Rattus norvegicus: one gene and its partners. The protein of the gene in region 3 purifies or fractionates together with the protein of the main gene of each other region. This does not show direct contact. Links are inferred from orthologs where the notes say so. Each region holds a gene or a part of one and is shown on either strand. Other genes may lie near its edges. The genes, in order: Ago2, Nxf1, Dhx9, Ilf2, Hnrnpa1, Dicer1 and Ddx5.

Region 1 (4,175 bases), on a different chromosome or scaffold from region 3:
TGCCTTTTCATGTTTGTAAAATCACTTCCCAGCAGAACCTTTTTAAAAGAAATCTTGTGATACATTTCCCACAATAACGATTCATAAAATTAAAAGAAGAGAGGAAAAAGAAACATTTTTATCATGCTGGAACCCCAGCCTCTTTAATTGTAAAGAATAAACCCAATGGTGTTGACAGAGAAAACTCAAAAGTTACAAAATGTTGCTTCTTAAGAATGTGTAAGTCAAAGCTTTTACATCTTTTCCCCTGAACACTTATTTAAATCCCTTCACAAGCTCCTGGGGGGAAGATTTCCCACAAGTGCTCAGCCACCCGGCTGTGCCTTCCAGCTGTTGGCAACGCTTTCCCTGCAGCACACAGGCCGCCAGGCAGCAGTGGTACCCTCAGACAAAACTGTGAATTGGGGAGGAGGGTGGGGGAAGGGGCTAACTGCTGCCATTGGAGACCACAGAGAGTAAAGCGATGATCAAAGACGCAGTCGTGATCCGCAGCTCTCAGTCGGGTTTCCACAGTCTCCGAGGTTATTTTGTAGCAAATATTCATAGGCTATAAAGCAGGAGCATCTCTTTGCAGGAGGCAAAGCTCCTCCCAGACAGTTTAAGATCCTTCGATGGGGGAAACCCCACCTAGAACCCACTATCTAGGAAATTTCAGGGTGGGAAGAGAATTTATCTACCCTAAACCACTAACCTTTTCCAATAGGAAAGAAAAATCTGTGAGGTTCTGAACCTTGGCCCCCAGTGCTACTAATCTCACACATGTAACAGTATTTGTAACAGACACAATGAGAACCCACTGTGGATTCTATTTTTAAAGTTAATTTACTAAGTATTTACTTCCCATCAAGCTCGGAAACAGCAAAACTTGGTAACTTTTCTTTAATTCAGATCCAATGGCCTTCCATTCTCCTAAACTTGGAAATATGGAGTCTCTTTGAAGGATGGAGGTGGAGGGGTTCCTTGTAAACAAAATTAAAAGCCTTTGTATGTGCTATGTGCAATAAAATGGAGCTGCACTCCAGCCTTGCAATTACAGCACACTGGCCCACCTGAAACTTGGGTTCCTTCCCAGCCTGCCATTAGCCAAGAATTACCCTACAGGCATCTCTTTTCTCACCCAAGGCTTTCTGGTTAGAGGGGACTGTCTCTCCCTTAGGCCACAATGCGGAGGCCCACGCAGCAGCAGCCATCTTCAAAGCTGCCAGTGACCAAAATGAACCGGTTGATCCAGGCTACCGCATTCTTTTTGAAAAGGCAACAAAGATGCCCTCGCGGAACACACAGTAGGCTCTTCCTTTCCACCCTACTTGGGAATTCACTGGTCTAATCCACACCAAACAAGTGCTTCCAACAGTGGGGTCAAGGTCAAAGGGACTGGGAAACCATTTCTATAGGAGTGCTCAAACAGGTTGTCCTAATGCAGGCTCCCGGATGTTAAAGGGTTCTTAAACCTCTCTGAGCCTCCACTGCCTGTCTCCAGAAAGGCCCACTGTGGCAAGCTGAAAGGATCAACACGCAAAATAGAGAAAAGCATGGCCTCGTCTCCAAGAAGATCACTAGAAACTGACACTCAGGAAAAACGTACATATTCGGAGTTAATGTTTGCTGGGTTCCTCCACAGCGCTGAGCTGGGGGGGAGGGGGGATTCCCAATCTGGCAGGAGGCTGCCCTGGTCATTTCGCAGGGGACCTCCAGACCCCAACATCTGCCTCCAGGACCCGGACACCTCCCAAGCGCAAGGTTAAAAGGGTCTTCAAATTACTGGGAAGCCCTTTAACGCATTTAGAAGTTGGTCAGTGGGCATTCGAGGAGCCCTATGACATCAGGAGAGGAGGCGCACTAGGCTCCGGAGCAAGCACCGTAGGGAACCCGGGAGGATCTGGGAGGCTTCCAGACCCCACAGTGAAGAAGTCTGGGGAGGCCCCAGGGCCGAACCACTAGGTCAGGTGGGCAGCAGGGAGGGCCCGCGGGCGCCAAGTACAGCCTGGCGGACAAAGGGGGGCAGGCTGAGCCCGAGCAAGCGGCGGGGCGGCCGGGAAATGGAGCCACGTGCCTGGCGGGAGAAGGCGAAAAAGCCTCCCAACACTTGTTTTCTCAACCCCGCGAGTAAACCGCCCTCCACTCTGCTCGAAAAGCGGGGTGGGAAAATACGTTCGTGTTTTTAAGTTTTCTGGAACTTTTCCAGAGAAACGGGCACGCTGGTGGGAAGGGGTGCCACGGCGGCCACCCGCTCCGCTAGGAAATCGCAGGGCGATTAGCACTTGAATGGGGAGGGCGGCTGCCCAGCGTGGAACTGCGTCCAAGCAGACGATCGCGGTCCCGGGGCCCCGGGGTTCGGTTCCCGACCCGTCCAGCTCCCCGCCCCAGGCCCCGCATGCTGGGCCCCACAGCTATGCGCTTGGGGACAGAGGGAGGAGCGCTGCGGGAGGACCGAGACCCGTTGCAGGCCGGGCCTGGGCCCCCAAACACGTCCGGGCCGCGCTGCTCCGGTGCACTGGGCCTCCCTGCCCCGAGGCCCTACCCGGCTGCCCCGAGGCTACGCCGCGGCCCCACAGGCTGGGCCGCCCTCGCCTGCCCCGCCCGCCAACCGCCAACCGCCGCGGCACGAGTGCCGGGCGCCGCGCGGACTCACCGGGGCCGGCTCCCGAGTACATGGTGGCGCTGCCGAGGGCCGCGGCCGAGGGCCGGCCGCGCGCTCCACGGGCCCCGACGCCGCGAGCCGCGAGGACCCGCCGGCCGCTCGATCCGCCCCGGCGCGGCCGCCTCGCAGAACAGGTTTACCCGACGCGGCCGGGGCGGCGGGCGGAGGCGGCGGGAGCGGAGGGGGAGGGGAGCGGGAGGAGGGAGGGGAGGAGGAGGGGCGAGAGGGACGACGAGGGAGGGGACCGCGGGGAGGGAGGGAAGGAGGGAACAGCGGGGAGGGAAGGAGGGAGGAGGCGGGGAGGAGGGAGGGGACGGCGGGGAGGAGGGAAGGTGGCAGGGAGAGAGGGGGCAGGGGAGGAGGCTGGAGGCGGCGCGCGCACGCGGGGCAGCGGGATGGGGGGAAATCGAGGTGGCGGCCCCCCGCGTGGTTGCCCTGAATGAGGGACCCCAGGAGCGACCCGGGGCACACGGGCGGGAGACCCTTCCTCCGGCCCAGCGAGGCGACGTCTGGCTTCCGGGCGCGGCCAGCCCAGCACTGCGACCGGAGTCGGAGTCCTCCCGCGCCGAGTGGCAGAGCCCCGGCCGCGTCCCGCCCCTGCACCTCGGCCTGGCTCTTTAAGTTATTAACGAAACGGCGACGGGAAGCTAGCTCCCCACCCAGAGCTTGAACTTGGACGCGGCCAGACCCGTGCGCGTGACCACACCGCCACCTCCCGGCGCGGCTCGACAACCTAGATAATCCTAATAAAGCACCAAGGAAGCACAGCAAGTTCAAGATGAATTTTATCAGCCGTCAGGGAGCAGATCTAGTCGGGGCTCCCCGCTTTCTGGGCTCAGAACCCCCAAGTTCTGCCCTGAGGCCTCCCAGACGAGCATGCTCTGTGCACATAGGCCCTTTCCCCACTTGTTGCTGGCACGTGCTCCCAGTTGTCTCTGGCACCTTTTCTATAGAAGAGGCAGTGTCAGCTCCCGCCTCACCCTGTACGCTTGACAATGCCTTCAAAGCCCATGCTGAGGACCCAAGCAAACAGGGTCCTACTGCAGGGACCCCAGCATCGGGGTAGGTTCCATAGCCTGTGCAGTGCTCAAAAAATAGTCCGAGGAGCAAGAAAAGCAGCGTTCCTTCCAATAAACATGGAAAGGAGGAGAAGGAGGAGGAGGAAGGAACTAGATAAAGAACTGTGGGGTTGCCATCCCAGCTACTCAGAAATCGAGGAAGGAGGATGACAATGCTAAATCCAGTCTAGGGTACATAGAAGAAAGCCTTGGGTACCCCTTCCTCCTAAGTGGTCGACACAAACGGGTAATTAATCATACCTAGCCCTTGTGGCCAGCACTTGTGGTCCCCACTGCTTTGGGATGGAGACAGGATTTGCTGAACTCAGGAGAGATTTTTGCTCAGAACCAGCCAGGGCAACAGAAAACTAATGGGAGGGGAGGGGCCGTGTTAGATTTTACTCAGCAGTAGAGCACTGTCTGAAGACCTATGAGACGTTGGGTTCCCTCCCAGCATTGACACCCCCCCACACAAA
Region 2 (3,500 bases), on a different chromosome or scaffold from region 3:
GGTATCTTTAATCTTCTTCACATTTCTGCTGTCATTGAAGTATTTGGCTAAGTTGTGTCTGGAAAATAAGAGGGAATGATGGTGGTGGTCAGATCAGTGGCCTGTATCTCCCAAATAATCTTTTGGTTCTGGATAGGTTCTGACATGTGACACTTACCGGACAGGGTTCTGAGGGTTGGAAGGAGTGCTTAGCGAGCAACAGGCGCCATCATGGTAGGCATCCAGAAGACCCTGGCGGTCTCCTGAGTCATAAATTGCATAGTACCTGTAAGGAAAGTTAAAGAGTCTGAATTCTGTGTCTGGAACCAAAAGGACACATATAGCAGTGAGTACGCACAGACCAGCCATTATCCCCAGCACTAAGGGCTCCTGGGAAACTTACTGCTGCAAGAAGTGCAGGACCAGACTCTTTAGGTTCTCTGTTCCAAAATAGCTTCCCTGAAATCAAACAAGATGTTAGGGTCACAGGACCAGTATGTATCCGACACACAGCTCTAATTCTAAGCCCAATTCTGACCTTGCAGGGTGGTAACATAGTAGGGGCTTCGACATCAAAGGCAATTGGAGGGGGTAGCTCATGGCCATCCTGTAAAAAGAAGTGAATGTAACATGAGAAACAGAACAAAGACGGGATTTGTAAGCATACAGAAAAGCTAAAGCATGGAGAGTATACAGGGATCCTATATAAACTTTGTCAACAAGCGTTTCTAGGATGATGATTTCCACTGTTAGCAGATTCTCAAAGAAATCTCCACACCTACATGGATGGTCACAAAATAGAGGCAAGACCTTGGCTGTCCTTGCTACTGAGAACAGTATTAAACTTACCAGGCGTAATAACTTGGGAAATCGTTCGCGAATGGTGCTGTCAAGAACGGGACAGAAGTGAGAGACGCTTCAGAGCCATCATGCCTCCTGGGCTGCTCTAGGAGCAAATACACCAAAAACCCGAGGAACAGCCCATCCCATCCTGTACATCGCCCCCTCCTCCCCAGCTTAAATTAAACTTGGGGACAAGAACACCCATTCCCCTCCTCACCAGGGGCACCCCTTCTGAATTGCCTTGAAGGCTGACTTTGTTGTCTCACTGCCTGATCCCAAGTGCCACAGAAGGACACTCTCAGCCCAGGCTTTAAGCCTAGGGCTGCCTTCCCCACCTTTCCCCCCTTACCTTCCACCTACTCACCTGTGCAGCCCCGGGAGGAGGGAATGGGGTGGGAGCCCAGGGGCTCTGCTGCCTCACCAGGTATCCACCAGTTCTGCCAGGTCTGGCCTTCGCCAAGACCAGAACACACCACAAGTATGGCACGGGATGTTGGGGCAAGGAGATGAACAAGACAGGGCTCAAGAAGAAAGGAGGAAAGAAAAGAGACCAAGGGAAAGAAGAGAAATGGAGAAAGGTAGGGCAAGGACAAAAGAGAGATGGAGAGACAAAGAGGAAGTAAAGCAACAGGGACAGACCTGAAGGCAGAGGCATTCAGAAAAGAATGGTAGAAAGAAAGACCTCCTGATACAGCCCTTTCCTTCAGCTGCCCCTTTCCTGTGGTCCCAAGGTAGAAATGGAGAATAAGTCCTATAATGGTTTGCAGTTGCTGTTGGCCAGGTCTCTGTCTGCTCCATGGGTCCCGGTCTGAGCTGGGCGTGGGAGGTAAAGCAGCCATGGGGTCAGGAGACCTCCCTCAGAAGGGTTCAGGCCTCTGCCGAGTTGGGGGGGTGAGGGTCTGTGCCCCACCTCAGTTGGCCCCCAAGTTTTCTCCTGATGGCCCCTATGCGACTGTGCCTGTCTTAGGTTGTTCCTTCCCTGAGGAATCTTACCCGTCTCTGGCTAACCAGCCATCTCCGGGGCCAAGCAGGGTGACGTGAGGTGTGCGAGTGAGGGAGGAGCCATGCCCCTGACAGGGTCATTTCTCTGTCTCCTTGGTAGCAGATGCCCCTATGGCCTCCACGCCCAGCATTTGCCTTGGGATCCCCTCACCTGCTGGCGGGGTCCCTGGCTTTGGTCACATCTTAGGGAACCCAGGTTTCTTCTCCAGGAAGGGCCCAGTTCACAGCACTAGGCAAGAGAGACCACTAGCATGGTGCCAGCCTGCAAGAGGCACCAACCTCGTCATGGGCAGGAAGGACCAGGCAACAGCCCTGGCTAAGTGTGTCATGAAAACAGAGTCCCTCTTGGTACAACGGCAAGAGGGACCATCGAAGGGCAAAGGAAGGAAGGCCCATCTCAGTAAGAGAGGGCTTTCTCAGTCTGAGTACTCTAGGCTTTTGGCTGAAGACAAACACACAGGTAGGACATATATAAGACACCTCCACATCAGAACAGAAAAGAAGAGGTATCCTTCCTGGAATAACAGGTAGGGAGATTCTAGAAAAGGCTGTGTTCAGGAAGGAAGGAGAAAGGCCAGAGAATCAGAATATAGTAGTCAGGTGAGAAGAAAGGAGAGGAGATCTAGGACAAAGCTAGGAGACATTGACAGGCAGAAAGGAGTACGGGATCCTCCTCCCAAAGGACAGGTGGTTCCAGCTCAGGGCTGCATGTTCTCCTGTAGACGGGTACTGGTCAGGGTGCATTAGCTCAGCCTCCCAGGGGGTGAATGTCCCCAGGAGGGGAGACAGAGGCTACAACTGACCTGATATAGGTGGACTGGTCTAGGAAGGTGTCACACATGGGGTTTCTGTCAAGCCACAGCTCTTCCAGCTTCAGCCCTTTTATCTTGTCTAATTCCCACTCGGACTTCAACTGTGAAGGATGAGGGAAGAAAAGAGGCAGGAAACGGACTTTACTAAGGATAGCAGCTGGATCCCCATGTTTCCAAATACAACCTAAGTTTTCTTTCTTGCTTCCCACCATGGCCAGCCAAACTGTTCTCGCTCTCCACCACCACAGAAATACAGCCAAGGGTCAGTGTGATGGCTCAGTGGGCAGAAGCTCCTGCCTTGTGAGCATCTCACAACCCAAGTTCCAGTCCAAGAACTCACAGTGGGAGGAAGGGAAGAACCAACTCCCATACAGTCTGCCTCCACCCATTCATAACCAGTAACCATTAAACCAAAGTACCACTAGGGATCCGTCTTACTTCGTTTCCAGAGAGATTCAGGATCTTTAAGTTTGGTGCCTTCTGTACAATGCTGGACATGTCATCAAGCTTGTACAGCCTGTTGTTACTCAAGTTCAAAGACAATAGCTGTGAATAGAACAAAGTTTAGATGTGTTACCACAAGGCAAATTTGTCCCTCATCCTATCCTACCCATCTCACTCTGCTTTCTAATGCAAAAAAAAGAAGCTTCACCTCAGGAATGTTCTCTTCAATGATCCTCAGGGCGGCTGCCATACAGCCTCTACGGTTTAGAACAACATCGATGTTCTGGGCCACCAAATCTTTAGCAAGCAGGAAAAAAAAGGAAGTCTGAGAGGGCTTGCTCATACCAGTGTTATAAAGACCAATTGTCCCCCTCTCCATTTAGTCAGGATCATTGCTGTCAGTCATACCTGGGTCTGAGC
Region 3 (3,117 bases):
ATTAACAGTACCATGCAGCATATACCTTATAAACACACCTCAAAAATGACCAGGCCTCAGAGTGAAACTCTTGCATATACTAGACTAGCAAGATCTCCAAGGATTATTACTAAACACATTATTCTAAGAAATCTTTATTCTAAAAATTCAGTTTGAAGATTACAACTGAAAGGCCCTACCAGTCATCTATAAACACGATCTGACCATCAGACTGGACTTTCTTGGAGGCAAAGAGAAGTAATTGTAGAGGGGTCACTAAGGTCATGCCTTTAGCAGAGATGGCTCGGGTTCGAATCTGTAGATGGAGAAAATGTAAAATGTCACACACTGATGGGTCATTAGTCCTATTATAACTCTGAACTTTCAGACTTCCCTAATCCTCTTACCTTTTCACCAAAAACAAAGAAAGGAGATGGGTACTTCATGTCTTGGCTGCTAAAAGGACAGTTCACAGAAGACTTGTGGATAAGTGCATTACGACCTTCAGTGGTAAGAATCTTTCTCTTCTCTTTATGATAGCATACATTGGGGTACACACCAAAAGCCAGCAAAGAGATAACAACATCCAAATTATTATCTGGTCCAGTGTTAGTAAACACTTGTGTCAATAAACAATCTGTTAAAAAAAATAGAAAAATGGTTTGTAAAGATTAGATAATAGCATGACTCAAAGTCCTCTGATAACTTTCTCAGAACTTTACAATCAAAGGTTATCAGCTGCTCTTATTACTAGCAGAGCAGATGAAAAGACAATCCAAGAAGTCACTGAAAGGATGGCTGTCTTATCCAAGATACGCCTTAGCAATATTTCCATTTCCAAATTAAAAACCTGTCACCAATATGCTTAAAGCCTCAATATTAGATCTATGTGAACAAACCTAAATAACTTAAGCTGTTATTAGCAATAAAGCAGGATAATAGCTTCATCTTAAGATCATTAGAATAGGGCTGGAGAGATGGCTCAGCGGTTAAGAGCACCCGACTGCTCTTCCAGAGGTCATGAGTTCAATTCCCAGCAACCACATGGTGGCTCACAACCATCTGTAAGGAGATCTGATGCCCTCTTCTGGTGTATCTGAGGACAGCTACAGTGTACTTATATATAATAAATAAATAAATCTTTAAAAAAAAAAGATCATTAGAATATTCTGAACATACAGATTTTTCCCCTTAGATTTTTTTTTTTAAAATCTGTCAGTTCACAAACAAAACAAAAAAACTACTCTAATTCAATTTGTAACCTTTAAAAATTTTAGTTTCTGGTACTAACATATCCGGTTAAGTATGTTCAAATAGCTAAGAATTATAAGCAAATATTCTTCAGCCAATGTACCTGTAGTTTATCACAATGGCTCACAAACTATCTTTTTTTTGGGGGGGAGGAGCTTTTTGTTCTCTATTTTACTGAGAAAGGATGTCACAAATTAATTCAGGCTGTCTATCTTAAATTCTCAGTGATTTTATTCTGCCTTTAACCTCCAAGATCTAGAGTTAACAGAATGAGACACAAAAACCAGTTTATAAATAGAAGAGGGCTTACCTTCTGGAAAGCCAGAGTTAATCAGTATCTCTTTAAGCTGTACTTTGGCTTCCCAAGTCATTCTTAGTGTAGCCATATTTAGTCTCTTCTGCTCACAAAACCGTATTTCTGCTTCTTCTCCACTCATCCTAAAACAAAACAGAAAAGGCATTCATTCTCAAAGGCTTAGCAAACTAAGTTACAAATTCAGACAAGCTCACTAAATTCTCACAGGAATTGCCTTTAAATTCCTACCTAGCATCATCCCAGGCTTGGAATACTGATAAAAGAGCCACATGATCAGAAAATCTGTTTCCAGCAAAATTCCGATGTATGTACCCCAAGCGCTTCCCTTCACTGATAAAGGGCTCTGGAAAGCAGGTAGCAGCAGAGATGGTACAGACAGCGTCTCCCACACTGAAACAACAGCACAACAGCAGTTAAGCCTTTCTGTGAGAAGACCTTCAAATGTGGACTGAATACTCTGTTAGCTAGGATATAACAACTAATATTTACTATAAAAGTTTATACTATAAAGGTTTACTGTAAGTTTTTTTTTAACCACCAACCCACCTTTGCCTTTATTAAGTCCATTTTATTCTGAGTAACAAAAACCAATGAACTTACTAGAAAATACACCCCATTATCATCATTTTTCCAAAACGAGGCTCAATGGGGAGTTTAGCCAGGATTCGTCCAAGAGGAGTCAACTCATCATTGGCATCTAAAGCATCAAGTTCTATGGGAAAATACATACTTGTGAGTGATGTCAATAAACAGGGTATTAGTGTTTAATTTTACGTCAAGTTAAATATGAAGTCTGGACCAAACACTGGAATAGCCAACACAGAAGATGCTATAAAGGTATGACCTATGATGCAAATTGGGACTACAGTCACTGATATAGTAGCAACATCAGCATTAAACACACACACAGCCCATAAGAATCAGAATCAGAATCAGGTGAGTTCCAGATTCCAAGTTCAATGCAGGGCCATCTGAGCTCAATGCCCTTATTTTTCACAAGGCTACATCACTTTTATAACAAATTTGAGATTAGAACAAAACAACCCAAACCACTAAGACATATATTTAAATATTAAATATAGGTAAGGAGTAATTCATGTTCTGGTGGATTCTCTATTCCCTTAAATGTTTATTTAATGAGATCCATTTATGCCCCTTCATCCCACAATTTCCTTGTAGAAATACATGCTGCATAAAGCCTAACATGTTAATCTCCCACCCCCAGTCTATATCTGACTTGTTAAATAGGATTTGTTAAGTAGGTAAAGACAAAGAAAGTATCACTTACCTCTAAGAGTATGCTCTGCTTCAATTACTGCATCCAAAGGTGGAGGTTCAATTGCCTTTGCAAGGAATTGGCCAATTCCTCCTAGGCGCAGAAGTTTTATGCTCAGAGCAATTTCATGCAATGGTGTTCTAAACATCTCTGGTGTCATGTGGGTCTCCAGTCTAAAATTTAGAAGTAGAAAAGTCAAAGGTGATAATAAAAACCTTTGCACAGACAACTGTGTATATAGTAGCCCTTTCCTAGTCTACAACTTTTCCTATTCACTATAAAACTAGTCTAGCTG
Region 4 (4,184 bases), on a different chromosome or scaffold from region 3:
AGGCCCTGGGTTCAGTCCCCAGCTCCGAAAAAAAAAAAAAAAGAGCTGCCCCTGATAAAAAAAAAAAAAAAGCCAGATGGCAATGGTGGCACACACTCAGGAGGCAGAGGCAAGTGGGTTTCTGAGTTCCAGGATAGCCAGGGCTACAGAGAAAAGCCCTGTTTAAAAATCCAAACATAAATGAAGAAAGAAAGAAACTAATTATAATCTACCATGTAGTATAATATACACATTGAGCACTCTGGAGGCAGAGGCAGGCAGATCTCTGAGTTCCAGGCCAGCCAAGGTTTTATACACACACACACACATACACACACACACACACACACACACACGCAATGTCTCAAAGTAAATAAATAAGTCCTAAAAATATTTTTTTTTAAAAAAAAGGTATTTTCTAGGGTTGGGGATTTAGCTCAGTGGTAAAGCGCTTGCCCAGCAAGCACAAGGCCCTGGGTTCGGTCCCCAGCTCCGAAAAAAAAGAAAAAAAAAAAAAAGTATTTTCTAGACAAATATTACAATCAAACTGTAAAGAAAGTATCTTCCCTGCCTTGCTTACACTCTTTTCTAAGTTTTGTTCTTATTGAGACGGTTCATTTGTAGCCCAGGCTGGCCCTGAACACTAACAATGGTCCTATTGCTGGGGTTTCCATTGCTGGTATCACAAAAGGACTTCATTCTCTTTAAGACTGGCTGGGCTGGTGAACTGGCTTGTTTTTAATATGTATTTATGTATATGCGAGTGCCACAGTGTGTGTATATGCATCCTGTGTGCAAGAGCCTGTGGAAGTCAACAGAGACGTAAGAGCCTTGGAAATCAGAGTTACAGACAGATGTGCACTATGTACGATGTAAGAACCGGGAAAAACTTGTGTCCTCTGCTAGAGCCATGTTAGACCTGTAGTTATAGCTCTAAGTAGATTGCAATATATAATAAATACAATAATAAAATAAAACCAGTTAATGGGGTATACATGTAGCATGTTCACATCTCTAGCACTCAAACTAAGTAAATAAAAACTTACAGCAGGGGGGCTGGAGAGATGGCTCAGTGGTTAGGAGCACTACTGCTCTTCCAGAGGTGCTGAGCTCAATTCCCAGCAACTACATGGTGGCTCACAACTGTCTGTAATGGGATCTGATGCCCTCTTCTGGTGTGTCTGAAGACGGCTACAGTGTACTTATATATAATAAATAAATAAATCTTAAAAAAAAAAAAAACTTACAGCAGATGAATGCCTGTAATTCTAGCATTCAGGAGGCTGAGGCAGGAAGATGATGAATTTGCAGTCAGCTTGGTATACATAGAGTTCCAGGCCAGCCAATCATACAGAAGACCCACTCTCAAAGAACAGATCCATTCTTGAATCCTACTCCAAACAGTATCTAACGTCATTAACAAGGATTCTGGGCTTCTACACCTGTAAGTGAGCAGTAGCCAGTCAAGTTCTCCAAAGCCAAAATACTCACCAAATAGAAATCAAAGGGGATGTGGGGCACAAAAGGCCTGAACCTGAAACATGAAAACAATCCAAAATTATTCAGGCAGAAAGCAAGCAAGAGAATTCTGTCTTAAGAATTCAGGCATTTCTGGGGTTGGGGATTTAGCTCAGTGGTAGAGCGCTTGCCTAGGAAGCGCAAGGCCCTGGGTTCCGGTCCCCAGCTCCGAAAAAAAAAAGAATTCAGGCATTTCTAAGCTGCATCATTCTTAGCAAAAAGCCAAATTCACTTTGTAGGACATGAGGAAAAGAAATGCTTCGAGTGGTTTTCACAAAATCAAACAGAACAATCTACTCCAAACTCCTATCTACTGAAACAAACCAAGGCAAAGACGTGAACAGCCACACTCACCCTCCTCCAGGACCTCCTCTGGAACCAAAGCGCCCACCACGACCACGTCCTCTGTCACCCCTAAAAGTACATACATTTTACTCTCATGTTGCTGAAAAAGGTTTCCATCACACCATCAATGTTATTTCAATGTGACTTACCCTGACCCCCCTCCAACTACTGAAGTCGACAGATATATCATGCTCACTTCTCCCCGATTCCAAATGATGTCCAGTCCCACTCTCATGACATCCTAATTCTGGACTTTTTTTTCTTCTGTTTTTGAAACGGAATCTCATGTATCTCCTGCATTACCTCCCCCCACCCCAAGACTGCATCCTGAGCCACCACACCCCACTTCTAATTCAGGATTTTATCAAAACTCACATCAGGAAAATACGAGTTTCAGAACCTGACATACATACCCCTACTAAGTAACCCACGATCCTGAGGCACACGGGTCGTAATATTCAGGGTAAGGTGACTTCTCATTTATTAATACAGCATACCAGTTACGAGACATGTCCAATTGGTCAAACACTAGGCACCAGAAAAATGTGCAGCGCTCCAGCCTGCTCACTGCGCACGGAGGGTGATCTTCCTGGTCCGTTAAGACCTCTCCTCCATCCCCCGAGACCCAGGAATCAACACAACTGCCCTGCTGGGGCCCGGCCCCCCTCCAGGCCCGATTCCCCGAGTCGGCCAGCCTCCTCCTACTCCACTCTCTCCGGCCCGGCTTTCCGCCGGCCGCCCAGATACAGGCCCTTCTTCCCCCGACTCCATTTCAGCCTGCTCCCCAACTCCAACCCCCCATCCCTCGAGGCTACGGCAGGAACTTTCAAGCACCCTGTCTACTTACCTCATGGCTCGCTTAATCCTGAACAATGGAGACCACTCAACCGCTCTTCGCTTGGAAGAATCAAGGTAACAGAGAAACGTCGGGTCGGCGTGTCCCAACAAACGCCTGCGCGATAGGCTCCCGCCTCACTCCGTCCCGTGCGTTTATTGGTTAACCCAGCAACCAATGGAAATGCTCTGTAAAGGAGTCAACCAATAAGAAGACATACCAGGGACAGAGGCAATTTCCCCCACTTACAGTAGAGGGCGTTCAGAATTTGAGGCTGTAAGCAGGTAAAGTCTTCTATGGTAATACAAGCATAGCCTACCAGTAGGTAGCAGAGTGGCGCAGCGGAAGCGTGCTGGGCCCATAACCCAGAGGTCGATGGATCGAAACCATCCTCTGCTATCGGAGACTTTGTTTTTCTTTTTACGGGTGAAAATACAATTAAATTTTTCCATAGCAAGAGATGTGGGGTTTTTTTTCCTTCTCCAACTTTTTTTTCCAGACAGCGTCTTGCTTTGTCACCCTAGTTTACATAATACTCGTTAATGTAGCCTGAGCTGTCATCAAACTCTTAGCAATCTCTGCCGTGTGCCGCCTCACTTGAAAACATAACTTTTACCTTACGGAAATATCAGAAATAGTTCCATTTCCCACCATTTTTTCCCTCAATATCATTACTGTTATATGATTCTTTTTTATTGAAAATTGTCATACAATTTTTCTTGATCATGTATTTCTCTTCCCCAGTTCCACCCAGATCCTCCCTCCCCACTTCCCTATGCTAGGTGATTCTGACAAGTATTGATGTATTATTTACTTTTGTAGGCATCTATTCCTTCTAAGTAACCTCATTAAAATAAGGAATACTTTATCAGGTCGGCAAGGTGAGTCGGCAGGTACAATCGCAACTACCTGAGTTCGACCTCTGGAGACTCAGTGATGGAAGGTGAGCCGCGATCTGCATTTTGTCCTCCGACCTCACTATGAATGCCGTGGGTGTGGTGACACCCACAAACACAACATAAATAAATGTAACGGAAAAAAATTTAAAGGATATTTTGGTAAACATGGTGGAGCATGTCTTTAATTCCCGCACCTGGGAGGCAGCGGCAGGAGAATCTCTGTGAGTTCAAGGTCAGACTATTCTAGGTAACCAGTCCATGCCAAGTAAGTCTACATAGGGAGATCCTGCCTCACAAAAACAGTATTTTATCATCTCAGAAAGATAACCATACTGGATTTCTACTATCGTGGGTTAGGTTTGCCTTTAGATTTTCTTTTTATTGGGGCTCGATCAGAGATGACTCAGCAGTTCTTTTTTTCGGAGCTGGGGACCGAACCCAGGGCTTTGCGCTTCGCTTCCTAGGCAAGCGCTCTACCACTGAGCTAAATCCCCAACCCTAAGTTCAGTCAATCTCTAAAGTCCTCTAGGGGATTGTATTCACAAGCACGTATACATATACACACATAACTTAACATAAAATAAATCCTTAAACCGGACCTTGTCGTG
Region 5 (4,240 bases), on a different chromosome or scaffold from region 3:
GTGGTTAAGTCTATTTTTCTTGGATGTTTTTCATTAAAGTATTCATTTCACTGTAAAATTTTAATATTCTTCTTTCCAAAGAATAAAGGCACGTCCTCTAGAGTCTAAGTGAAGGGTGAAACTTTTTGTACCAAAAAGTACAAGAAAACATATGTTTTCCTTAAGGTAATATACGGAATGAATGCCTTAATTATAGGAGTCATTTTAGTTAAATGTTCGCCCCCACAAATGCAAGACTAAGCTTTATTTTTTGAGAGTAGTCTGTCCTACTGGCTCCAGGTTTGCTCTATATGAATTTAACCTACCGACTCCCGCGCTCCCCACTGGAGTCCAGCCTCTGCCTCTTGGGGAAGGCCGGCCTATGGCGCGCTTGGGGTTCATTGGCTCGGAGAGACGCAACTCAGGCAAGAAAAACCCGCCTCCCACATTCCGATGGCCCAAGGACCGGTTGGTAGGCAGCTATAGGAAGACCCAATTGGCCTATACACTCGCCAGTCAAACGCTTCGGCAACGCAGCTTCACCGAACCTGCAAGGATAAAACATCCCGCCCCAGTTGTCCTATTGGCTGGCCCGACCCGTCGCGGCCCCTTCACCGTCGTCTCCCCCCCCCCCCCAGTTCAGCGGTCCATTCATTTCGTACAATAACCGGTGCAATTGGAGCAGGTTCAAGATCTCGTACGGGTAGACAAGACTCTGCCACTTACCCGGGATCTAAAGTGATCACTCACACTAAGGCCTGCACGGTTCCTCTGTGGCAAAGCGGCACCACAAGCCACCGCTACCGCCGCCTTCTGCGCAATGCCAACCGCCCGCCAAAACGGATCCTTCCCTGCGCCTGCGCAACCAATCCCGGGCTTGGACCTTTTCTCCGCCCAAAACGCCTGCGCAAAACAGAACACAGGTCCCTCCACTACGCAGGCGCCTACGAACCTCGTATCCCTCTCCCGCCCGCCATTTCACGTGTTCCAGACAGCAGGCGGAACTTCGTACTGCGCCGGCGTAAACTCGCCATTTTTATTACACATGCGCTTTATAGCTGGGAAAAGTCGCGGCGAACTACTTTCTAACGTATCGTCCTTTGCCGAGTGAGTTTGTAACATTCGGGTGTGGGGAAGGTATAAAACACATTTAAAGACGTGAGTACATTCAAATATAAATTACTGGCTAGCTAGCCAATCAATGTGGTTAAGAATAAGATCCCTTGGGGCGTCAATGACTCAAAGGGGCGGGGACTGAGTAGAACGCCCAAACGGATGCCGTTTCTTAGCAGGGCGTTTTTACAGGCCAATGGTGGGAGGGAACAATTTCAAATCTCCAATAAGACTGAAGCAAGGGCGGAGTCTACCAATGCCGAAAGCGAGGAGGCGGGATAAAAGGGAGAGCAGAAGGTAGGCTGCCGGACACGTTCGCTATCTTATTCCTTTCTGCTCTTTGACGCTGGCGAGGAAGCATCGCTGAACGCTCTCATCATCCTACCGTCATGTCTAAGTCAGAGGTGAGTTGAGCGCGCTCTGCAGCTTCGCTTTCTTCCACACTTACTGAATATGACGGGATGTGACCTGTTTTGTCGCTGGCTCCCGTGCTTTCGGTGTTTGATCGATTACTGCTGAGGCCTACTTTAAAAAATGCAGGTCGCCATTTTGTCCTCATAGTCACCATGAGGCTGCGATCCGACAGCCATTAGTTTCTACGCACTGTTCCTTTTGGCAGAATTCTTACACTTAACGATCTGGGGTTTGTGGCCTTTTTTTCGTTTTTCCCTATCTGGTCTAATGATCTCTTGTTAAAGAGATACTAAGTCTTAATGGCGATGGACCAGACCAACCTGTGTCTTTTGTTGCGCCTGCGTATGAAGTAACAGGACGCATGCGCCGCGTGCAACTCGAGTCCCCAGTCAAGCCCAGGAAGGAGCACGTGGTCTTGTGCAGTAATAAAGAACAATAAAAAAGTGTGGCGTGTGTTGATGAATGGTGTTGATTCATTCGCCCAAGTTTCAGGCCCTCCACTAAGCCCCCTCTTTCCCCCACTTTATTTTAGTCCCCCAAGGAACCGGAACAGCTGCGGAAGCTCTTCATTGGAGGGCTGAGCTTCGAAACAACCGACGAGAGTCTGAGGAGCCATTTTGAGCAATGGGGAACACTCACCGACTGTGTGGTAAGATTTAAAAAAACAAAAGGAAGAGCTGCCTTATTTCTTCTGATTTAACCTTGACGCTTCTTAGCTAAATGTTTTGTGAAGTTAATTAATGGGATACTAAAAATCATCGTTGTGGAGCTTTGCTAACAAGATCTGTAAAAGAGCTTTTTATTTTCTGACTCTGGATGGAGTTTCATGTTTGCAGCGCTCTGACTAGGAATGACTTTTTGGCTTTGTGATCAGGCACTGTGTTGATTGAATTAACTCTAAACAGGTAATGAGAGATCCAAACACCAAAAGATCCAGAGGCTTTGGGTTTGTCACATATGCCACTGTGGAGGAAGTGGATGCTGCCATGAATGCAAGACCACACAAGGTGGATGGAAGAGTTGTGGAACCTAAGAGAGCTGTGTCAAGAGAAGTGAGTGGTTTTTCCTAATAGCTGGTTCTTTTTTAACCTGAGATTGTAATGGGGCAGATCTCAACTGGGAGATCCTCCCTCCTGAGTGAAATTAAAGGCATGTGCCACCACAGGTGTCAATCATTTAGGAATGTGCTGCTACTAAATAACTGGAGTCATTTTTCCTTTTAGGATTCTCAGAGACCAGGTGCCCACTTAACTGTGAAGAAGATCTTTGTTGGCGGTATTAAAGAAGACACTGAAGAACATCACCTACGAGATTATTTTGAGCAGTATGGGAAAATTGAAGTGATTGAAATTATGACTGACAGAGGCAGTGGAAAAAAGAGGGGATTTGCGTTTGTCACCTTTGATGACCATGACTCTGTGGATAAGATTGTTAGTAAGTATCAGAGGATTACATTTTCCTTTATGATTCTGGAGTTCACATGTTTTTTTAAAAGTCCTGAATTTAATTTTTCCTCTTAGTTCAGAAATACCATACTGTGAATGGCCACAACTGTGAAGTAAGAAAGGCTCTGTCGAAACAAGAGATGGCTAGTGCTTCATCCAGCCAGAGAGGTGTGTTTATTGCTTGGTTAGACTTGGGGTGAGGAGGACACTGTTAGTTATTACAGGTTAACCTAATGATCCAAAATTTCTTTTAAGGTCGAAGTGGTTCCGGAAACTTTGGTGGTGGTCGTGGAGGTGGTTTCGGTGGCAATGACAATTTTGGTCGAGGAGGGAACTTCAGTGGTCGTGGTGTGTATGGCTTTGTTTGGCTCCTTGTTGGTTTTAGAACTTATAACTAGTAATTGCTACCCTGTGTCCCCAGCACTTACAGGTTTTGATATTTGATAAGTATTCATTCACGTACAAAGCCTGGTTTAAAGCTTTGGTTTCTTCCAGGTGGCTTTGGTGGCAGCCGTGGTGGTGGTGGATATGGTGGCAGTGGGGATGGCTATAATGGATTTGGCAATGATGGTAAGTTTCTTAAGGAGTCTGTAAGGAGTGGTTTCTGGCGACCTCTACCTTTAGAATAGGCTACTAGAGACTAAACCTAGTGCATGACAAAGTTCAGTCAGCCCCGTAAAATGCATGCCCTGAGCAGCCTTTAGCTATTTAACTTGCGTAGATTTTTCTTGTTAAATACTTTTGTCTTATTGAGAAGACTTGTATTCTTGTAGGTGGTTATGGAGGAGGCGGCCCTGGTTACTCTGGAGGAAGCAGAGGCTATGGAAGTGGTGGACAGGGTTATGGAAACCAGGGCAGTGGCTATGGCGGGAGTGGCAGCTATGACAGCTATAACAACGGAGGAGGCGGAGGCGGCTTTGGCGGTGGTAGTGGTAGGTATCCAGTGACGCAGGTACTTGGTGCGGAGCTAGATGAGACTTCCAGGGTTTATGCCCGTCTCAGACTTCACGGCTGGCTCTTAGAGCATTGTAGGTACATTGCATGGTGCGTGCAAATAGGCTTGCTATGCTACCTCCTCCTGGCTTTAAGCTGGGGCCGCCTCCCCCAAAATGAGTAGGTGGATGAGTGGTTAGTGTCTTCCTTCCACATGAGGTAGTTAGAGACATAGCTGGATTGTCTACCTTCTGCTGGGACTTCAGGCATTTAGTTGATATATCCAAGAAATGTCTGTCTTGACCTAGAATATGTACACAAAGACCTTCGATTCTAACTTGCCACTGAGAGAAACT
Region 6 (3,500 bases), on a different chromosome or scaffold from region 3:
TGGCGTGCTGTATTTCCCGCCGTGGCTGTCTATGGGTAAGCGTTTATGCCTCTTCTGCCCAGGTCAGCAACTGTAACCTGTACCGCCTTGGCAAGAAGCAGGGACTGCCCAGCCGCATGGTGGTGTCGATATTTGATCCTCCTGTGAATTGGCTTCCTCCTGGTTATGTGGTAAACCAAGACAAAAGTAACTCAGAGAAATGGGAAAAGGATGAAATGGTAAGCTCTCAGCATGCAGCTTTTTTGTTTTTGTTGACTGAAGAATTTTGTCCTTGTTTTCTCTGTGCTGTGTGTTTACCATGTAGTAGATATTTCGTGTGTTGGCAGGCCATCTACGGCTTCAGAAACAGCGTTGGTTTCGTGCAGTGTGATTTCTGCTCCCCCCCACCCCCATTCCAGAGGCATAAACTTCTGTTATGTTTCCACTTAAAAATAAAGTCAGAGCCCTCTCAGGTTCCGTCACTCTCACGTTACAGTGTGTCCTTAGCCATCTGTTGAAGTGACTTTGCAGTGACCTGTGATCTCCAGGCTGTGTCTGGAAGAATTCAGTTCAGCACGGACTAGCTTGGGCAGTGCTAGCCTGGGACTGTGTCCACTTGCCAACTAGACAGCAGTCGCCATGTGGGAAGGCTGCAGTGTACCGGAAAGACTGGAGATTTCTCTTCAGTAGCCACAGCTTCCTTTGTCTTGTCCTGAAGCCACCAGGGGGCAGCTGGGAGAGTTGTCTTGTACTTTGAAGTACCCATCTGTTCAGGCATCGCCGCCTGCCAGATTTATTTTGTATTGATGATAAATGGGCTTGCATCATTTCATTTTTACTTCCGGCTGATAATGGTAACACCATTTCTTTTAGTTTCTGATGTTTCTGTCTCAGTGAGTGTCTGTAGGTGATGTGGTCTCTGAGGCCGCACTGATGTAGGCCTGCGTGCTGAGTATATTTGTAACTCAAGTAGGATTTGACTTACCACAGAAATTCAGTTTAGTTGGAGATCATTAAGAATATTTTAATGCAAATTAAGTCTGAGGATGATATTTGATAATTAATTTATTTTTATTCTTTAGTTTTTTATTGTTTAAAGATTTATGTATTATATATAAGTACACTGTAGCTGTCTTCAGACACACCAGAAGAGGACATCAGATCTCTTTGCAGATGGTTGTGAGCCACCACATAGTTGCTGGGATTTGAACTCAGGACCTCTGGAAGAGCAGTCAGTGCTCTTAACCACTGAATCATCTCTCCAGCCCTGTTATTAATTTATAATACACACATTTGCATATGTCTATACACACATTCACACACATACCTTAGAAAAGTGTAGACTTTACCTTAGAAAAAGTCTGTACTTTCTACAAAAAACAGTCCAGCAGGCCTCATCTTCTGTTTGTATATTTGATCCTTTAGGTAGCAGTGACACACCTGGGCACCAGGGCTTTCCTGACTTACAGGTTACAGCGTTCACTTCTGCTTTCTGTCCTTCTCTGCTGACTCAGCACTTCGGTCCCTAGCACGCACTACCAGACGGTGCAGGCTTTCATCCGTTGCCTTCCACACACTCAATTACTGCCAAGTCACAGGGTGGTTGTGGATTGTGTCCTTCCAGTTCCAGTGTCTGCCCCTAGGTCATACCTGGGTCTCTGAATGCCTCCTAGAAGAGAGAGTGAGGGCAGCTCAGGTAGACAGTACTGTTGAGACACACACAGGCACACAGAGCGCACGTGCACACATACAACATACACGTGCGCACTCTGTTCAAATGCTTGTGCTTTGGACAGCATTTTTGAAGTATAACTCCTCCTTGTGAAAATGAAGAGTCTGCACAGTGCCAGGGACATAAAATGCCCAGGATCACTGGGTGGCAGCACCATGTTACAGAAACATGACTTATGCAGAAGCTTTGCAGTTTAAAACCTCAGGCTAAATAATTCAAATTTGGCCATTTTGTCTTAAGGCCTAAATAATAAAGCTGATATGGTGGCACGTGCTTTTTTCCCATCACCTGGGATATAGAGGCAGGTGGATCTCTGAGTTCAAGGCCAGCCTGGTTTACACAGTGAGTTCCAGGCCACTCATGTTATCTTGGAAAAACTGAAAAGTTTTGACAGGATATAGTTTTCTGAGATTTGCCACTAGCTGGGTGCTTTGCCTGCATGTCTGTGCACCTTGTAGATGCTGGTACCTGCAGAGGCCAGAAGAGGGCATTGGATCTGGCATTAGAGGTGGTTATAAACTGCTATGTTGGTGCTGAGAACTGAACCCAGATGGTCTGGCGAGAGCAGTCGGTATTATTAATATCTGAGCCACCCTTTGGACCCCAGTTGATGGTTTGGTATTTTGTATTTTTCAAATGGATTTTTGGTGGTTTTTTGTTTGTTTGTTTGTTTGTTTTTTATTGATTGCATATGATTACAAGGCTAGACTCAGATATTCTTTTTTCAAACAAACACCCAATTTCTATCTTTTTTGAGTCTGGTTTAAAATGAAACGTATGCCTTGTTTTACAATCAAATGGAAAATAGTTTGAAAGGGTTTTGTCACAATATTCTGGAAAGTTGTTTCAATCAAAGTTGAAGCTTGCTGTCCTGCGCCTGCCCGAGTAGAGTGGTGGTGCTGTGCGTTCATGTGTCGTCTTGGTGGCACTGCAGACATTGCACTTCTTAGCATTGCAGAAGATGACCTCACTGGCGAATCACAGCCCATTATTAAAGTTGCCAGTCACAAACAAGCTTTTGCCAGAAAAGTTGGAATTAGCAAAGATTTTTGACAGAACTGAGATTATTGTGTTTCATGTTAGTCTAAATTTTCTTCTGTTCTGTCAGCCTGCTAGGATCCTGAGTACCAGGGCTCAGAACAGAGGGTGGAAGAAGAATTTCCCAAATTTGTACCTTCTTTCAGTGATCATGTTTATTTTTAATTTTTAAAGCAAAGCAGTTTAATTTTACATTGTAGCCAATGTTTTTTTGGTTTGAAGTGTGGAAGTAGAAAGAAAAACTATTGTAAAACCCTCCTACAGTTTTTAGTGGTAAAGATTTTTAGAAATAATTTTGTCTGCTTTTATATTATGTTCTTAATTGAAAAGATAATGCTTTTTCTACATCTGGGATTTCATTTTGTTGCTTTGAAAGTCAGGCAACCACATTTTCACATGCCGATAGCCAAGTGGAAGGCAGGCCTGTGAGGGCACCAGAGGGCTCTTCTGTCCTCAGAGTCAGGCTGCTCACAGACGTTCTGCATGGCGGACATCAAGTTTAACTTTATCCTTGTTCCGAATTCTTCTCTACAGATTTATACTGGATAAAGGTCATTTTATAACATAGAAAATGAACATTCAAAGAGCATGTTTGACTCTGTTTATATGATTAAATAACTTATTTTATGTTAATTGAAAACAAATGGCCATGATTTTTAAAGTTGCCTTTTAGTATTTGTGGTTGTCATTTGAAATTATCCATGACCCTTGCTTTTATTGAGTTTCAAACCCTTTAAAACAGCAGCTCTGT
Region 7 (2,518 bases), on a different chromosome or scaffold from region 3:
TGATTGCCATGGTACAGCATTGTTTCAAACTGTTCACTGTGATCTGTGGGTCTTTGAGTTTCAGTGAGTTTGCTGAAATGTCGAAGAAATATTTCCAAACTTCAATGTTCAATGAAATTTTTGTTCAAGTATGAAATGGAGAGAGCAGCTTTAAAAGGTACTAAGCCTTTTACAAATTGGTGAGTACTGGCACATGAGACCTAGAGCAGGACCAACTTCTCACACATAGTCAGTGGGAAAAGAAAGTGCCTTGAAAGTTCCTCCCTCACCTACACAGTAGTCGTCATGTCGAGACCTGCCAGAGAGAGACACATTCTCAAGTGAATCCTGGCTTCTTGGAAGCGCTTGCCTAGACGAGACACAGTGCATTAAAACAACTTTTGGGGGACAGGTATGTTTTTCTTGCAGCTGCAGTTGTAAGGTCTTGGCAAGACAAGCAGTGTGGCCAGAATTGAGTGTAAAGCAAAGGACCTTCACCTTTTTGTTTAAAGGTCCTCAAAATGAGCACACGAAGAGATTGCTGTGAAACTTTTAATTGGCCCTACTGCGCAGAAGCATTCAGATGTCACTTGATGATCTGTAAGGGGACTGTCAATTTGGGAATGTGCTAAGGAGAACACACATTCCCTTGATAGGCTGTCAGTGGGTGGGTGTTAAGACAGCTGACATGTGCTTTTTTTTTTTTTCTTGTTTTTTTTTTTTGTTTTTCCTACCCTGCCCTTTTTCTACCTCAATGGTGTTCCTACAGGAAATGGATAACCATTTTAACTGTATTTTTTTCAGCCCGTACCTTCTTGGGAATACAATTGTCTAACTTTTTATTTTTGGTCTGGCTGTTGTGGTGTGCAAAACTCCGTACATTGCTATTTTGCCACACTGCAACACCTTACAGATGTGGAAGATGTGAAATTTGTCATCAATTATGACTACCCTAACTCCTCAGAGGATTATATTCATCGAATTGGAAGAACTGCTCGCAGTACCAAAACAGGCACAGCATACACTTTCTTTACTCCCAATAACATAAAGCAAGTGAGCGACCTCATCTCTGTGCTTCGGGAAGCCAATCAAGCAATTAATCCCAAGTTGCTTCAGTTGGTCGAAGACAGAGGTTCAGGTAAGAATCTTCCATGAGAGATGTTACGGGATTGTTGACAGTCACCTCTTGTCTACGTCTACGGAGTGGGATTTAAGGACTGAGTTAGTTTTTATTTTGAAACTAAGAAATCTTAAGACCCAGCATAAATAGAGCTATCTCACACTATGCCATGGGTAAGGTGATCAATTTCTACTTATTTTCTTGACAGGTCGTTCCAGGGGTAGAGGAGGCATGAAGGATGATCGTCGTGACAGATACTCTGCAGGGAAAAGGGGTGGATTTAATACCTTTAGAGACAGGGAAAACTATGACAGAGGCTACTCTAGTCTGCTTAAGAGAGATTTTGGGGCTAAAACTCAGAATGGTGTTTACAGTGCTGCAAATTACACCAATGGGAGCTTTGGAAGTAATTTTGTATCTGCTGGCATACAGACCAGTTTTAGGACTGGTAACCCAACAGGGACTTACCAGAACGGTTATGATAGCACTCAGCAATATGGAAGTAATGTTGCAAATATGCACAATGGGATGAACCAACAGGCATATGCATATCCTGCTACCGCAGCTGCTGCGCCTATGATTGGCTATCCAATGCCAACAGGGTATTCTCAATAAGACTTTAGAAGTATATGTAAATGTCTGTTTTTCATAATTGCTCTTTATATTGTGTGTTATCAGACAAGATAGTTATTTAAGAAACATGGGAAATGCAGAAATGACTGCAGTGCAGCAGTAATTATGGTGCACTTTTTTCGCTATTTAAGTTGGATATTTCTCTACATTCCTGAAACAATTTTTAGGTTTTTTTTGTACTAGAAAATGCAGGCAGTGTTTTCACAAAAGTAACTGTACAGTGATTTCAAATACAATAAATGAAGGCAATGCATGGCCTTCCAATAAAAGATATTTGAAGACTGAATTAAGTGGAAATTGTACTTTATTTTACATATATAATGTCATGTAAAACTTGGCTTAGATAGTATGTTTTTGGGGGGATTTTTGTTTTGGTGTTTATTTTTACACAACTAAAGTTGACTACTTCCCATTCCTTGGTTTAGGAGAGGAACTCAGAAGGCCCTTTGTATGGGAAGAATTTAGAAACAATGGATTTTATAATTCTAGATTAATTGCATAAGAAGCTTTGTCAGTAGTTTTCAGTATCAGGGAAGTAAGTCGTTTAATAGCCTATTTTCCTTAAGAGTGAGCTACAGGACAGGAACTGTATATAAGTAACATGGTGACTCTTGCAGAAGTTTTAAGTGGACATTTTGCTTTATCAAATTTATTCCATCTCTTGGCTTTATTGTCAACTGCCAAAATGCACAAAGCTGAAAGACTGTTAGCCCAAGAGCTGTGCACTGTGTCCTTAGTGCAGGTTACCTTGTATTTCTAGTCCTAGCAGACTTGCCAGAGTGCTTA

What was found.
Region 1: the proteins of Dhx9 (region 3) and Ago2 purify together in Homo sapiens (affinity purification with western blotting; 5 studies listed by BioGRID and IntAct, with this or other methods). This does not show direct contact. The link is inferred for Rattus norvegicus from reciprocal best matches to the Homo sapiens genes DHX9 and AGO2.
Region 2: the proteins of Dhx9 (region 3) and Nxf1 purify together in Homo sapiens (co-immunoprecipitation; 4 studies listed by BioGRID and IntAct, with this or other methods). This does not show direct contact. The link is inferred for Rattus norvegicus from reciprocal best matches to the Homo sapiens genes DHX9 and NXF1.
Region 4: the proteins of Dhx9 (region 3) and Ilf2 fractionate together in Homo sapiens (co-fractionation; 5 studies listed by BioGRID and IntAct, with this or other methods). This does not show direct contact. The link is inferred for Rattus norvegicus from reciprocal best matches to the Homo sapiens genes DHX9 and ILF2.
Region 5: the proteins of Dhx9 (region 3) and Hnrnpa1 purify together in Homo sapiens (affinity purification with mass spectrometry; 7 studies listed by BioGRID and IntAct, with this or other methods). This does not show direct contact. The link is inferred for Rattus norvegicus from reciprocal best matches to the Homo sapiens genes DHX9 and HNRNPA1.
Region 6: the proteins of Dhx9 (region 3) and Dicer1 purify together in Homo sapiens (co-immunoprecipitation; 3 studies listed by BioGRID and IntAct, with this or other methods). This does not show direct contact. The link is inferred for Rattus norvegicus from reciprocal best matches to the Homo sapiens genes DHX9 and DICER1.
Region 7: the proteins of Dhx9 (region 3) and Ddx5 fractionate together in Homo sapiens (co-fractionation; 3 studies listed by BioGRID and IntAct, with this or other methods). This does not show direct contact. The link is inferred for Rattus norvegicus from reciprocal best matches to the Homo sapiens genes DHX9 and DDX5.

What each region holds. Positions count from the first base shown.
Region 1 is NC_086025.1:106,991,325-106,995,499, forward strand, and holds the start of Ago2 (protein argonaute-2), read right to left. Parts: upstream 2,801-4,175; 5' UTR 2,655-2,800; coding exon 2,633-2,654; intron 2,626-2,632; exon of another isoform or gene 1-2,625.
Region 2 is NC_086019.1:215,091,063-215,094,562, reverse strand, and holds part of Nxf1 (nuclear RNA export factor 1), read right to left. Parts: coding exon 3,489-3,500; intron 3,378-3,488; coding exon 3,289-3,377; intron 3,183-3,288; coding exon 3,075-3,182; intron 2,738-3,074; coding exon 2,628-2,737; intron 866-2,627; coding exon 829-865; intron 587-828; coding exon 518-586; intron 439-517; coding exon 383-438; intron 266-382; coding exon 158-265; intron 59-157; coding exon 1-58.
Region 3 is NC_086031.1:68,155,430-68,158,546, forward strand, and holds part of Dhx9 (ATP-dependent RNA helicase A), read right to left. Parts: intron 2,996-3,117; coding exon 2,835-2,995; intron 2,259-2,834; coding exon 2,147-2,258; intron 1,937-2,146; coding exon 1,775-1,936; intron 1,669-1,774; coding exon 1,541-1,668; intron 617-1,540; coding exon 387-616; intron 296-386; coding exon 180-295; intron 1-179. UniProt on the Homo sapiens protein: Multifunctional ATP-dependent nucleic acid helicase that unwinds DNA and RNA in a 3' to 5' direction and that plays important roles in many processes, such as DNA replication, transcriptional activation, post-transcriptional RNA regulation, mRNA translation and RNA-mediated gene silencing.
Region 4 is NC_086020.1:178,255,543-178,259,726, reverse strand, and holds the start of Ilf2 (interleukin enhancer-binding factor 2), read right to left. Parts: upstream 2,801-4,184; 5' UTR 2,695-2,800; coding exon 2,690-2,694; intron 1,912-2,689; coding exon 1,852-1,911; intron 1,514-1,851; coding exon 1,471-1,513; intron 1-1,470. UniProt on the Homo sapiens protein: Chromatin-interacting protein that forms a stable heterodimer with interleukin enhancer-binding factor 3/ILF3 and plays a role in several biological processes including transcription, innate immunity or cell growth.
Region 5 is NC_086025.1:136,252,678-136,256,917, forward strand, and holds the start of Hnrnpa1 (heterogeneous nuclear ribonucleoprotein A1), read left to right. Parts: upstream 1-1,440; 5' UTR 1,441-1,481; coding exon 1,482-1,496; intron 1,497-1,540; exon of another isoform or gene 1,541-1,898; intron 1,899-2,038; coding exon 2,039-2,155; intron 2,156-2,411; coding exon 2,412-2,558; intron 2,559-2,729; coding exon 2,730-2,940; intron 2,941-3,026; coding exon 3,027-3,119; intron 3,120-3,206; coding exon 3,207-3,299; intron 3,300-3,446; coding exon 3,447-3,521; intron 3,522-3,724; coding exon 3,725-3,883; intron 3,884-4,240. UniProt on the Homo sapiens protein: Involved in the packaging of pre-mRNA into hnRNP particles, transport of poly(A) mRNA from the nucleus to the cytoplasm and modulation of splice site selection.
Region 6 is NC_086024.1:129,401,753-129,405,252, reverse strand, and holds part of Dicer1 (endoribonuclease Dicer), read left to right. Parts: intron 1-62; coding exon 63-218; intron 219-3,500. UniProt on the Homo sapiens protein: Double-stranded RNA (dsRNA) endoribonuclease playing a central role in short dsRNA-mediated post-transcriptional gene silencing.
Region 7 is NC_086028.1:92,223,893-92,226,410, reverse strand, and holds the end of Ddx5 (probable ATP-dependent RNA helicase DDX5), read left to right. Parts: intron 1-826; exon of another isoform or gene 827-892; coding exon 893-1,117; intron 1,118-1,307; coding exon 1,308-1,714; 3' UTR 1,715-2,018; downstream 2,019-2,518. UniProt on the Homo sapiens protein: Involved in the alternative regulation of pre-mRNA splicing; its RNA helicase activity is necessary for increasing tau exon 10 inclusion and occurs in a RBM4-dependent manner. Binds to the tau pre-mRNA in the stem-loop region downstream of exon 10.